Styela clava: one gene and its partner. The protein of the gene in region 1 interacts with the protein of each later gene in a pairwise test. Links are inferred from orthologs where the notes say so. Each region holds a gene or a part of one and is shown on either strand. Other genes may lie near its edges.

What was found. The genes of interacting proteins can lie anywhere in the genome.
Region 2: the proteins of WD repeat and FYVE domain-containing protein 2-like (region 1) and PRA1 family protein 3-like interact in a two-hybrid assay, tested with the Caenorhabditis elegans proteins (2 studies listed by BioGRID). The link is inferred for Styela clava from reciprocal best matches to the Caenorhabditis elegans genes wdfy-2 and praf-3.

Annotation. Positions count from the first base shown.
Region 1 is NC_135254.1:8,517,046-8,524,337, forward strand, and holds the start of WD repeat and FYVE domain-containing protein 2-like, read right to left. Parts: upstream 3,020-7,292; 5' UTR 2,950-3,019; coding exon 1,741-2,949; 3' UTR 1-1,740. UniProt on the Caenorhabditis elegans protein: Plays a role in coelomocyte endocytosis.
Region 2 is NC_135255.1:9,619,628-9,627,848, forward strand, and holds PRA1 family protein 3-like, read right to left. Parts: upstream 3,321-8,221; coding exon 3,136-3,320; intron 2,240-3,135; coding exon 2,156-2,239; intron 1,858-2,155; coding exon 1,721-1,857; intron 1,560-1,720; coding exon 1,432-1,559; 3' UTR 410-1,431; downstream 1-409. Other genes in the region: uncharacterized protein LOC120330723, read right to left, coding at 4,844-6,955.

The DNA.
Region 1 (7,292 bases):
AAAAGTTGAATTCCATAAATTTTTTTAAATGTGCAGTGAAAGTAATTTTTTGTATTTTTTATATAAAAGGCATTGGAATTTTATTAAACTGCATTCTTTTTACCCAAAAAGATAAAATTTCACCCAGGTTTTTGATGGTATATAAAAAATGGCCTAAAATGTAGAAATTTCGGTATAATTGACATATTTTCTGATGATTCGTGACACAAAGTGTTTGATTGTGTGATACAGTTATTTCATATGAAATAGACGCACTGAATTTAAGTTAATAAAGTTTGAATGTTTGCAGTGCTGTAGGACATTTCTTCACCCGTTTAACGATTTATTACCAGAATTTTAAGAGATGATAAGGCCGCTGTTCCGAAGTGGAAAAATGTCATGCAGTGTCACGTCCTGTAGTGTCACATACAATATGCACATTATTGGCATGGATTTACAGTGTTACATCAAGTAACTTGAGCACATAGAGGGGTCATTCAGCTACTGCACCAGAAAATATTACGGGCTCCTGCTGTACCATCACAAAAATTTACAGCACAACACAATGTACTGTTAATGCATGGTGGATTTGCCGTCCTGTAGTGTCACGCTATATTTTACTATATTTTTTATATCCACTAAGTAAGTCTTGGATGTAACTTTTGTGCAATTTTTTTCATATTCAATAAAGCAACTGATTGGACAATGAAACAAAACATGTAGCTGAAAATGTAAAAATATATTGCATCTAACAACATGCAAAATTTCTGGAATTGTCTTGCAGTGTCACTTGGGATAGCCCAATATACATATTAGAATATTTTTGCATTGTAGAATTCCAATATGCAAATTCATTTTAAACACACTAATCTGATATCACAGCAAGACCACAATATATGCAAAATTTTACTCATATTCAGCATCAAGTATGACTCAAAAACAAAGATGGGAAATTTCACTACAAGATGACAGTAATTAGGATTATCTAATTGCTCAAAAACTGTTAATAACACATAATTCAGTTTTGTCAATAATTTTTCGTGACGTATCCTGATATATTCCGCAAACGGTACTGCCGTAGTGTGTGTACTAGGTTAGGTGATAATTTTCATTCCAATTTTCCTTATTTTAGTTTTATTATGAGTTGAGGACTGTTTCAGACTTTATAAGCAACTTGATGTAAAGTAGGCAAACAAAATTAGTTACATCCATATTAGTACAAACACTTCTGAAGCGCCAAACAAACAACAAAAGAATACAATGCCCAACTACATCCTGCGTCAAGTCTACAGCTTTGTTTCAAAATATTGAGAACTATTATAAATATAGTGAGAGATACATGAAAAACACATAATTTTGAACAATTTGATGCAAATGGACAATTAGCTCGATGATAAACTCACTTGATTCTCACTTTTAAAGTATGATATACAGAGTAATGCTCCAAGGCAGTTCTCAATTTTTTTTTTGCTCGCGGCGCATTTAGAAAAAGAAATTTTTTGTGCCATACAGTTTGAGAAACGCTGCTCCAAGAGAAAAATAATGTTGATTATGATAAAGATACAATCTGAATCCAACAGAATTGAAACATTCCAACCGTTGAAAGTGCATGTCGACGATATGGCATTGGTGCCAAACTCAAAATAACATGATTAATATTTGATCCATCCGCTGAAGTATTATTAAATAATCAAAGAAATGGCAAGTGCTAAATCAGTCATCTTCAAATAACTTCTTCAACCGAGATGCTGTTAATCAATCTTACTTATGAATAACCTGACTCATGTCCCAGATTTTCACAACACGGTCTGAACCGCTTGTTGCAAGACAAAGTTTCTTCCAGTCCGGAGTTGCTGCAACCACATTATGCTTCAGCTCATGAAAAGTTGCAGTTGGTGCCTTGTCTGATTCAGGAATGGAGTCGAAACATGCATCACACACTCTGACTTCAAATTCAAAGCCCATAAAAGGAATTGTTGTGCGTTTTGTGCTACATTTTGCACATACTGCCGTGCCACATTTTCTGCAATGATGTTGTCTCAGACCAACAGTTTTTTCGTTCCACATTTGACGAAAATTCCAGAAAAAGGGGGTTTTGCACTTTTGACATTGATCTTTTTCTTCCCATACTGGTGTTTCTTGTCGTTTGATATCCATGTTCCAAATAACCAAAGATCCATCGTAACTCATAGAAACCAACTGTTGTGTACTGGCAGAGTAATGAATTGACATGACCTTTGACTCATGACCCTGGAGTTCAAAAGCCGTCCCTTTTTTGCTTCCTATATCCCACATGATTATAGATTTATCTGAACTTCCAGAATACAGAATTTGTGCAGCACTGTCCCAGAACAAGGTATTTACAGCACCAGAATGTCCTTTCAGAGAATTTATTGATTTGCAGTCATTCTTATCAATTTGTAAAATAGGGATTTCCCCATTAGAGAGACCACAGAAAACATAATTAGATCTGACATCAAACTGTAAGCAAATTGGCACGGAAGCAACTTGGTGAGCTCCCATTTTTTGACCATTTTGTGTCCAGTACCAAGTAAGCCATCTATCTTTTGCACAAGTTACAAGAATTTCTTTTTCAACGCAGAAAACCACACTTGTGACTTGTTTTTGATGAGCATCGTATTTTCTTTGATGGTAAATTGAATTGTAATCTTCAGCAACACGATACTCTTCAACAGAACCGCTTTGTAAGCCAATAAATAGTTGCTTTGTTGAAGGTGAAAAACACATTGAAGAACATGGTGCTGTTAAAAAATGGCAAACACTTGGCCAGTATTGTCCCGTTTCTCTTTTGAGCCAGATACGTACAGAACGATCTTCACTCACTGTTATGACTCCGTCTTCAGATGGCGTAAGAACCAACATAGGAACAACATCATGGTTCTCATCTTCTATTCGACCGATGAGATTTGGTTTCCGCTGAGTTGGTTTGGTTTTAATTTCAGCTGCCATTTTAGCAGGGCTGTTACAGTTCTAAAATGACTAATCCAGTAAGCTTAGGCAATCCACGAATGTCATATATACTAAACCGAAAAAAAAATATGTGGTTATAAATACTATCAGCAAAGCTGCACCACAGCATAAGCTATATCTAACTATTAGGGACATTATTGAAATCAGAGAACATACCGGTACCGATACCGTACCAATACGTTACCGTATAGGCTATTTCGACTGGTAAAGTTATATGAATAAAATTCGAGGCTAACAAAATAATTCAGGTAATAGGGCTTAACTAAATCAAGGCTATGTAGGCCTATAACTTGATTAAACTAAAAAAAGTTATAAAAAAGGTAACGTCGTGCTACTGACTGGTCTAAGCAGTTAAGTTACGGTACCGGTACGGAAAAATTTCGGATATAATTTTCATAGTCAAAGTGAGTTCTGGAGCTATACTGGTACCGGTACAGGTAGCTTAGTACGGCCCTGTTTTAATATTCGTTGTTCTGTTACATTTTCTGTCCCTAGTCAGCTATTACAACGCTATTTTCAGACTTCGGTTTGCCGTACATATTGTTCTCACAGTAAATTGCAGGTGAAGCGTAAAAACAAAATAGCTTTAACGAGATCGGTCCGTATTTTACAAAAAAGATTAGTGACATCATATCACAAGACCAGACGATCATGTCTTGTTTATGCATCCCGGAATCCGTAACGTTATCCAGTTAACGCGACAAGCTGCAGTGCGCGAAACGGCGTCTCACTGGGGTAGCGCAAATTATATCGATCTCCTCGCGATCAGTTACATCAATGACAATGTCATTGGTTACATAGAGTTGAGGAGGTTCCATTACATTTGAACCCACGTACATTTGAACCATGACAATTGCACCTGCATACTATTGCACCTATGGAAATTTTTTGTGTTTTACGGATATTTGAACCCATACTAACCTAACCCATGGGTTTTAGCACCCGCATATAGATTAAACCCGCGGATATACACATGGGTTCAAATGTACATGGGTTCAAATGTACGGTCACCAGTTGAGGACTCCAGTTGAGATTCGCGACAGAAAGCCACAGTAAGGTTACGCACGGCATTTTATCATTTATACTTCTAATTTTTGGACACGTAGTGGACATAGCGATCGTTTCAATATTATGTTGTTGTTGTTCTTAGTGTCCTTGTTCTTTGACACGTTTTGAAGAAATCGCTTTTCATTTCGAATACTGGACCAATTGCTTTGAAATTTTCAGTGGTTGAAGATAAAATTTTTCTTCAGAAGGCTATTACTTTTGTGTTTTTGCTATGACGTCATCAAAATTATTCCCACTGGGTGGCGCTACGTGTCCATATATTTGAGCATAGCTCTCTTGTTATTGGACACGTAGTGGACATAACGATCGTTTCAATATTATGTTGTTCTTATTGTTATTTGACACATAATAATACACCTAGTGGAAATATTAAAAAAACGCTTTTCTCTTCGAATACAGGACCAATTGCTTTGAAATTTTCAGTGGTTGAAGATAAAATTTTTCTCCAGAAGGCTATTACTTTTATTCATTTTAAATATACCTGTTAGCTCTGTGAGATTTGTTTTTGTTTACTATGACGTCATTAAACGTTCTGTGAACATCGGACGCCATTTTGTGTCCTACTGTACTGCTTCACTTTGTGTGAATATATTTGTAGACTGTGATCTGACGGTACGGTACACCGTACTGTACTGCGAACAGACGTGTCCATATATTTGGGCGTAGCTCTCTTGTTGTTATTATTATTATTTGTCTCCAGTGGCGGCGCGTGGTCATTTTGACAACCGGGGCAAGCTACGGCGGGACCAGGTCACCCCCATCTACGGGGACAGGATGAGCGCTGTAAGTTCTCCCATCATTTTATGAGTATAAAAACCATTCCATCGGTAACAACCAATCGGCAAAAGCGACAATTTTTAACGATAAGAAAGTGTCTTTAAAACCGGTCCGAGTCAAGGGATTAATAAATAAAGACATAGTTTATTTTGAAACCTCTTTCAAAAGGAAAGGCAATAATTACCCAGATAAATACAATGACATATTAACAGAAACTTCGGGAAAGCAGACAAAACCTAAAATAAAGTTTAAAACGTTACTATGAAGAAATGAAAGATAATGCAAAGATAAGGACATGCTTCGCTCACTCATAGATATATATGCTGCTAGACTTCTACTGCTTGAACATATATGCAACACGCCGCGGTTTCTTGGAAGCAAAATGCTCAATAACGCGCTGATTAAAGTCATGCATCCCAGAAATAACGTCTGTGAATGGATAAAACAGCCAAGGAATTTAATCTATCTTGCTTCATTGTGTTTCTGAGATACGTTTTAATACGCTTCAGCGTGCTGAATGTTCGCTCTGCGTCGGCGGAAGAAATAAGCGTCGTCAAAATGATGTCCAGAAATTTTGCAGACGCCGCAAAGGTAGTTACTAGAGTGTTATCTATGATGAACCCATAGAGCGCGCAAGTTGATGTGATGTTCAAAAAAGTTTGATTGGTGTAAATACATCGCAATTCATTTTCCAATTTACCCACGTTTATCATGGGGTAAAATTTGGAGACAGTAGCCCACAAATGGATGGGAAATTGACGTGTAAATTTTGAAAAATTTTTGGGGTTCATCGAAGAGAACGCGGCAAGGTGTTCAGTGCGCAGACGATCGCCTATATGATTCACCAGAATGTCACAGCATTCCTTTGCAGACAAAATCAAACGCTGCGTTGTTTGCCCGCGGCGTAAAGAAGCACTCCATGTGTCGTCGTATTTTATTGTTTCCCGGATACGAGATACAGCATCGCAGAAGTCTGAAATACACGACTGCACAGACGCTCCATCCATTAGCCTTGACTACAATGCGCCGTATAATACATTCACGTGATAGAATATTGTTGAGAAAAAAGCGAGAAAAAATGAAAACTCACCATCTTCTAGCAGACGCTTTAGACCTGCCGCCTCCCTCACGGAGCGTTCGTCCCAAACCGGAGAGCTCTGAATGCCATTGAAACACTCAATGAGCTCAGACCTAATTTCGGACACGCCCTGCACCACGCGTAATTGGAAGTTCCAACGTGTTGGTGCACAAGCTGGGAGACGGCGGCTACATATCTGGCGAAGGAGGTCAGAGCGCTTCGGCGAAACGGAAAAAAATGAAGAAAACCCCGAAACATTTGCAAAAAATATACGGACGAGAGGGGTATCAAGACACATATTTTTAATAACGAGGTTAAATTGGTGTGCATAACAATGTAAAAAATGCGCATGAGGAAAATCTTCTTTTATATAAACTTGAACACCATGTTTCGACCCACTCATGACTGCCCCGCCGTCATGAGTTTGAGCTATCAATTTTGACTTCGCGTTGTAAGGCTGTAACACTCCTTTCAGTACAGCCGATATCCCACAAGCCGTGCGATCAACGATTGGTACAAAGCTGTGAAATCTCTCGGTAGGTTTACCATCTTTCACAAACCGAAAAATCACAGCCAGTTGGGAAACGCACGTGATGTCAGTTGTCTCGTCAGACTGAATCGAAAGGAACTGGCAATTCTCAATTTCCAGAGCCAAATGTTGTAAATAAATTTTATACATTGAGTCGAGCAAATCATTCTGGATATCCTTAGATGTCCCTTTCGAAACAGTTGCGGCATCAAGATGATCTCTCAATACTGTATCTAGGGATGCGGTGTATTCCACCATATCCAAAAATACCCCTCTATTAGAAGAGCCAGCCCGTTCATCGTGCCCACGGAGGGACAGCTCGTGACAACCAATGAACTTCAAAACATCTATCAATCGACCGAGAACATGGCGGTTTTTCTCGACGTTTTGGTTGTGCCGACGAATAGAAACCGCGCGTCCTTCATCCAACTGTGCTGCAATATTAACATTTCCGAATGTTAGGTATTTTACTGCATTGTCCAGATGCAGACCAAATTTACACCAACGTGAGTCACGGGCGGTAGCAAAAAGTAGGCAATAAAAACAAAAAAGTGCATTTTTGTCCTCGCTGTAACACAACCATTCGTGTTTTTTATACCAAGTTTCTGCGCAGAATGTACGCCGACGCTTTCCTCCGTCATGGGATTGTTCCAGTGAACAATTTTTTGGTTGATAAGGCCCAAGACGTTGTACCTCTAATTTTTGTTCCAGCGGCAGCTGCGAAAACGGAGTGCGAAGTAGTGCATCAACCTTATTCTTTATGAGGTCTAAGGCTAAGAAATGCGAAGCCGGAAAGAAGTGAGGAGCTCAAAGCAATTTTATTAAACAACATGATAGGCAACTCTGACGTCACTCCATAAGACTATACGC
Region 2 (8,221 bases), on another chromosome or scaffold:
ATTCAATGACTCAGTCAATGCTAAATAACCAGCAACATCTTCATGTAATATCGCGTCCCTTTACTCGCAGTTGCAAGACCAAGGCGGTTGAATCCAGGACTGCACAAAAGTTTTGACTGATTTTTAAATCGCTGCACTACAAAGCCTATAAATTTCATAACTGTGTGCTAATTACAGTATATGGTTCCCCTGCGACAATGAGTGAATATATAGTGGCTAGCTTCTAACAAGAAATTGGGCGTAATACAAGTAAACAATTAAGTGTACCAAAGTAAAATTCAAGCAGATAAATTTCATGACATGCATTTTTCCAATTGAATAATGTTGCTACTTCTTGTGGTGAATGACGCTTTCAAATTCCATTCCCTAAGAACTAAAAAACATACCATCATCTTTCAATAACCGAGTGTGAAAGAAAATATACAACCCATCTTTATTACGATATGTATATATCAAATTACAACTGAAACAACCATATTATGCATATTAAATACATAAGAAACACAAAAACCAACCATCTATATTGCCGCTGGAAAATCAGCAGTGAACACCTCTAAAAATACTGCAGCACCATATATAAATAAGAAGCGTTGAGTTATGCAACTATTAAGTAAGGTTATAAAGAAAAGAACCAGAATAATATAATGTTGATAAATTACTTAACTAATAAAGATATATCTAAACGATTGACTACATGAAGGATAATCTAGTCTAGAGAATTATAGGCAGAAAATTAATCGCCACGTTTGTGAATGATCTCAAGTGCTAATTGCTTTTGAAAAATATCTAATTTAAAAAAAATACTGGTTCTGCACTGGGATGACCAAAACCGAATATTTCACTATTTCGAATATATCCTGGGAAAATATCTTCGACTATGGTATACATTCAAAATTGGGGCTAATTTATTGTGGAAAATTACATAAATATAAAGGTCATTAGTTTATCTGACCGCTTAAAATATCTAATTTTGAAATAAAAATACTGTCAATTATTCCTAAATATATATGAATTTTGAATGTAATCGAATATTAGATTCGCTTTGGACATCCCTGGATCAGCAGGTCAGATGGTTGACATACCTTACAAATCAGATACCGCTATCTAGTCACCGAACAAGAGGTTGTGGTCCACCATACCCTAAAGCCATCGACTTTTATATACTCTGAAAAGTCCCAACTAATTAAAGAAGGATGATTATACTCAAGTGTACTTATGAGAAATGGGCAAAGAAAATCCTTTGGAGTGGTTGCTTTTGATCACAATAAAGTAAAGAATATGGCAACGAAGACTTCCAGAAAATGATAAATTTCTGATATCTCTAAATGATTGTTTACTGGCGAAAAATCTGTTGAAATAGCTTGCAATTGTCTACATTAACCAAATTTATTATACCAAGCATGCTTAACAATAATACGTAAAAAGAAATCCTCAGAATTCTTGATCCATGGCTTTCATTAAAATTCCCATGGGAGTGGTCTTAAGGCCAACAGATTCCACTTTATTATTTACTTTGTTTTTTAAATTTCTCATCCGCAATGATGCATGAAGAAGAATACCTTTTAATAAAAAAAAAATATATAAATATACAAATGATTAATTAAAGATCGAAGCAAGCCCAATGAAAGTTTTGAAATCAATCACTAAAAAAACGGATATTCTACTGGAATATTTCACCTAAAAAATAATAAAAAGGATAAAAATATAAATTTGAACTTACAGAACATTGGTAATGCAATTCCAAATATGAACACGAGTACAGATCCCAACGCATACATCAGCATAGTAGAAACTGTGATAATCATCCCAATGACAACGCCAGGATATTTCCTTTTAAAATCTCGAATTTCAGCCCTGCTAAAAATGATCAGAAAAGCAATGTTTTATTTACAGAGCAATTTAACATTGTAGGTTATTGTTTAAACCAGTAGTTCTAAATCAATGGTAAATTTAACCATTAGGAAATATTCATTTTTTATACTACTAGTTTCATTTTTTGCATGTTATCAAACACTTTGTACATCTGTTATTATACTCTCATTGCAAGATACAGGTCAGCCTAGCCTACTTTTTTGTATAATATTGACGATGTGCCAAAATGGGAAGTTTGTACAATCGACTAAAAAGACTTGTTAAAGCAATGCAGTGAAATTACCTATTTGAAGCAACATACAGTGTCCCTGCAAATGTACCGCCCACCAAAATTCCGCCGAGTATCATTTCGTATGGTCTGACATAACTGAAAGAATTTGAGTACAATTTAAGATACTAGGATAAAATTTACATATTTATTTCAGGAGGAACGCCTAATATTACGGAAAACCACAACCTCTCGTCCAGTGACCAGTCTATGTTAGGCATGGGATTAATTAGCCAGTTATTGTTTGTCTTCAGATGCATCAGCCATCAACTGAACAGTGGAGCAAGCAGTAACTCACCCTGCGTGGATAGGAATCTAGAAATCCTCTCCCACATAATTCGAACCTGCGAATTCACACAAGGTAATCAAAGTGGCGGTAGCAAGCGTATTCTTAACGTCTAGCACGATGTGCCTCACTGCCGGGCAGAGCGTTGATGACAATAACATCTGCAATACCCTAGTACCCTATAACAGGGCTACTCAACTATTTTTACCGAAGATCCGCATACAGAACTTCAAAAATATTTGGGTCCGGTCTTTCCAGAAATTATATTTCGGCATCTTTAAACACGCACTTTCTCGGTCGACTAATGATTATAAGCTAATCAAGATTGTTTATTATGGTGTTATAGTTCCTCCCCATATATATTTAAATCTATATAAGTGATTTTATAAAAGGAAACTTCAAAAGTGGGGCTAATGATCCAAAATAAAGAATTAGACGCGGTTCGAATTGAATACCCGAAAGGTCCGGATTCGGACCGCGGTCCGCCAGTTGAGTAGCCCTGCCCTATAATATCATGTTAATACTTCATACTGATAGTTATGGGAGAATCAAAATATATATACGATTTTACATGAAAGTGTTGGAAAGCCTGAAAAAATCAAAACATTTCGAGTTGTTAAATGTACACCACATTTCAAAGTCAAATTTTTATTCCTACTGATTAAAATAGAAAATTGATATTAGAAAAAAACAATAATATTGCTATTACCCAACGATCAAAAATATCACAAGTGCAGATATCATGTAGTTCGTTTGATAATACAATAAATTATTCACGATTCTGTAATTCCATTTTTCTTTATTCTGATAATCGGGAAGCCCAAACCTTGCAGACCCAAGAAGATAATCTTGAAAGGTACGAATAGGAGCAAACTGTACATCATTCCCTGCCATTTTGAGTTTTTATTTTTGTCTTAATTTAAGTAAAAACCTGGAAAAATGACAAAAACTGTAACACAATTCACAAATTCCATTTAGAGAGAAATGCTTATAAACATGCACAAATTAGGGATGTTCACAGCCAACAGGAAGGCCCTCTCAGAGTCTCAGGAAGTTAAAAAAAAAACGTTTTTTCACTCAAAAATAAGCTCAAATGTTTTGAATTTTCGTACCACTTGGTTGAACATCCCTGAAAGAACAAACCAGATTAGCCCAAAGAAAATCAAATTTTCTAGAAAACTTAAGGTGAGCAACATAATTCTTGTTGTCACCCCAAAATCACGATAAAAGCCATTATGATTTGGTTTACATGATGTACTTATAATGCAACTAGTAAATTATTTTTATTGTCTGTATCTTTCCAAAATGACTGTTGAATAACATTTTTGAGCATTGCTTAAACTTCCGATTCTAAGGCAGGCAATCACCACCGGCAATCGAATGAGATTACTACCAGATAATTGCCAGGCTGTAATAAAAAAGGGCCTAATGTATTAGGTTACCGGTGGTTTGAGTATGTTCGAGTTTCTGGCAAAAACATATACAATTTCTTACAAAAAAATTCTAGCTTATAATAGTATCAAGCCAGTAGCATATATCATGCTAACACAAAATTCTCCACCACAATTTCCTAGCTATGTACAGAAAAACCACAAAAAATAATCAAAGCGTTATTGAAACAAGCTTCACAAGGCATTAATAATTTATGCATAAACCATTCCGACAGAAATCGAAAATACGAGAGTGTGAAAGAAATAACCTATTGATACCATGTTCATCTTTACATCAACAAATGACTTTTAACGCAATATCTCATTAATAAATCGGTTTCTCACTATATACAACACCCAGAAAAACACTAATTTATTAGTACTAAAAATACTGTAACTGATACAGTAAATTTATTCCAAACTATCATCAATATGTATCAACAACTATATAGGCCTCAGCCAATCAGTCTTGCCTATAACTTGTAATGTTTGCAATATCAGTGAAGACTCAGACCTTGCATGGGCGTGAAAAATAGGTTTATTACATACCCACAAAGTACCCACATTTTGGCACCGCTTGAGAATAAGTACATATACCCAATAAAATCTACATAATTCAATGTGTTGCACAAACCAACATAATTTAATATTTCCACAGGGGAACTTGGTTATATAACACATAAAAATATTAAATAAATGTGTATCAGATCAGTTTGTTGAATTGAAGTGATACATATTCACTAAATAGGAATGCAATGCACAAGAACAGGACCACAATCAAAAACAATACACAAGTTCCTTACAATTAACATTGATCTGTAATGCATAACAGCAATCCACCATTTAAATGACATCAAAGCACTTGATTTCTGATCAAAAATGAATAGAAATACATCTGAATTTCCAGTTATATTGAAGGCTATGTGTCTCGCATGCTCATGATTTGATCTAATTGTAGCACACAATGGAATAGGACAAGGGCACATATCATTTCCATTTCCAGCCTTGCTTCCATTTATCGGCTTGACTTCCAGTATTTGCCGCCCGAGCTCGTGGTGGCATCATATCAAGAAGCAATTGGCGTTCTTCTGGCTTCAATGAACTGGTATTAAATGGAAAAGGCAGCGTTGTTGATGATCTTGATTGACTTTGAGGACGAAATCCCCCACTTGAACTACCAGAACTTGTGTTAGAGCGTTGTTGTTGGTACTCCTGTTGAGCTCTTTGAAGTATTTTCTGATGACGACGCAACTGTTCTTCTTGAAGTTTCTTCAATTGTGCTTGCTGTTGTTGCAGTTGTGTTGCCGCGGCTACAACAGCGGCAGTCAGGCTTTGATTGGTGACCTGGGCAGATTGACTGGCTTGAGTCTGTTGCATCTGCGCTTGTTGTTCCTGCATCCTCTGTTCAATTTCCTGTTCTTGCTGCAAAGCTTTGACGAAAGCAGTTTTCAGTCGATTGGTGTGTTCAGCCTTGAGTGCCTTTTTCTGATTAGTATTGACACAACTCAAGCATATAACCTCATCAGGTTTATCTTTTACTGCTTTCCAAAGTGGACTGAAATCTTTTTTGCACTGCATGCAAATATGCGGAACAGGAATGTTTTCTTCTCTCTCTTTTTCTTCCTTGCGCAAATTTTTATTTTGCAAATGTTGAATCTTATTGACGACTTGCTCCAAACCCATCAAGCATATAAACTCATTGCTTGCAGCACTTGGTAAGAATGTAATTTCAGGTGGAGGTGGTTTAGGCGGAGGAATTTCAAGAAGTGTTTTTTCAAGCTGTTTACGAAGAGCAAGCTTCGCAGCCGCCTGTTGTTGTTTATAAGACATTGCAGGAGCAATGGGTCGTTTTTGCTGCTGCTGTAAAGCTTTTTGCTGTTGTAATAAAAATTGCTGCATATTAGCTGCCAAGTCACCTTGTCCAAGAAGTAATGGATTATTGCCATGTGAGCCACGCAACAGATTTCCCGCTTGCATAAGCTGAGGCATTTGCATCATGGCCGCGAGCGCATTGCGATTTGCTTGTAATTGAGCACTGCTAGTTCCACTGCTACTACTACTAGAACTTGATGTTTTATATCCTTGCGATTTCTGCGATGAGATAGTGCTCGAAGATTTTTGCTTCGAAGAATAGTTTGTAGAAACATTGGTGCTACGTTGATTGCTAGACGAACTGTATTGAGAAGGTGTTGTGCTAGGTTTTGTGCTTGCGACATTTGTAGTCGACTGTTGATATTTTGAAAGTTGACTTTGCCGCAGTTTTTTTAGTAGTACCAACTTGGCTTCTTCTCTTCGAACAGAGTCACGAAGTTGTCGAATGCGACTCTCTTGCGTTTTATGCATTCTTGCAAGCTTTATCAATGTTTCTGTTTTGCTATTCTTTCCTGGACTAAGTCCAAGTTCATCATCACTAACAACAATTACATCAGCATCTCCAGTATCAGCAATTATAATATCAGTGATACCATCAACGTCAGATTTTTTGACCACAACATTTTCTTTATCTTCATTTGGCTCCTTGGATTTGCTCAAGTCAACAATACTTTCTACGGATTTGTCAGTCATTTCAATATCAGTCATTTCTGGCTTCTTATTGTCTTCAACTTCCTTTTCTTTCTTCTCTAAGTTTGTAACTTCATCTAGTAATGGTTTTGCCTTCGCAACGGTAGATTCAGTTTCCAGCACTTTTTCAGTTTCTGGATTTGATTTTGCAATTATTTCTGAATCGTTATCATTTTGTTCCGGTTTGGAAATATCAGAATCCAAGAATCCTTCCTCTGTATCAACAGTTTGATCCTGATTGTTATCCACATCCACTTCTTCTACTTTCATTCTTTTTGCGTCCTCTTCTGGATCACCAGAATTGCTATCATCCTCTAATTTTCGTTTCATAGATTCTGCCAATTTCTTTTCATCAGTTTTATTCTGCTCAACTTCTACTTCTGCATTTTTGTCTACATCATCTTGTTGCGAAGGTTTTTCTAAATCGTGTGTAACATCTTGAACTTCACGACTTTCTTCGAGCGGAATTGCCGGTTCAATTTGTGATTTTTGTTCCTTTTCTCCTGGGCCATCTATCCCTTTTTCAGGTTCCGACATGATGCCCGAAACTATGGGCAAAATGTCCAAATATCAGTATTAAAATCCCAATAATTTTAAATTAGAAGATGAATATTCTATAATTATCAAAATCATAACTTGATGGATGAACTATGACACTATATGTGGGAGGGAATGCAGGGGAGAAGACATGGTCTACATGGAAATAGATAAATCAACTTTTCCTAATATTAGAATCACCCTATATGAGCCCAATTCAAGTATTATCTCTAAAAATTCACTGGTTACCATTTATTTTTAACGAATACTGAATAGTCGAGTAAAGAATATTTTCAATATACAACAGGAGTCTGGAACATGCAGACATGGAAGGTCGATACTCCTATTGTAAATAAATAAGAAACATTAAGTCTGTTAAGAAGTCTGTAACATAGCGTGTTTTTTTCTCTGTTGTACTTCATCGTAATCGCTGATTGTTTGGGCAATGCGGTCGTTTCGACGATCGACATCACAGATGTATATTTTTTCCTCTGTAAATCCGATTATTTTTTCCTGAGGAATTCAATGATGACGTTTTTAGATTGCGCTTCTTTTTTTGCGTAGTATTTGCGCAACTTCATTTTACTGTATTTTTACCAATATTGACGGACAACAATGTCCAGACATCCCCCAAAGGAGGGGGGTTCATTCATCGGCAAAATGGGATTCTATGAAACAAGACAATGTCTCTCAATCTGAAAAGTGCGCCGTACTCTCATGGGACCTTAATTGTATTTTTCACTGAATCATCTTGAATGCTACGCAATATCTTTTGTGTTTTTCTATGGTGTTCGTGTTATTTTCGTATTAAATGGATAACTCTGCAATTTGTGATTGTGTGAATCCTGAATGTTACTTTTATTTAAAATAGTGAATAAATAAATCAGCATTTCGACAGTCATGAGGCTAGATGACACTACATCTGTATATAGAGCATTTCTTGAATGATATTTACATTGAGGATTAACAATATTAAAACTAATTAATACAGTAATAGTTTAACTTATACTATAAGACAAGTTCAGGCAAAATCAGAGAGCAAACATCAGTCACAATACTGCAATAAGTTCCAAGTTAGGAATACAACATGCGGACATATTGACATAAACCAACACGACAGTCCGAGAGTAATATCAGAATATTGGTGTTGGACCTAATAAAATTATGATTGAAATAAACCTTAAATTTATTCCTGTAAGTTACGGATATTGTAGTACAGGTACTTACGGTAGGTACGGTAGGTATACGGCGCTATTAAGATTTTGT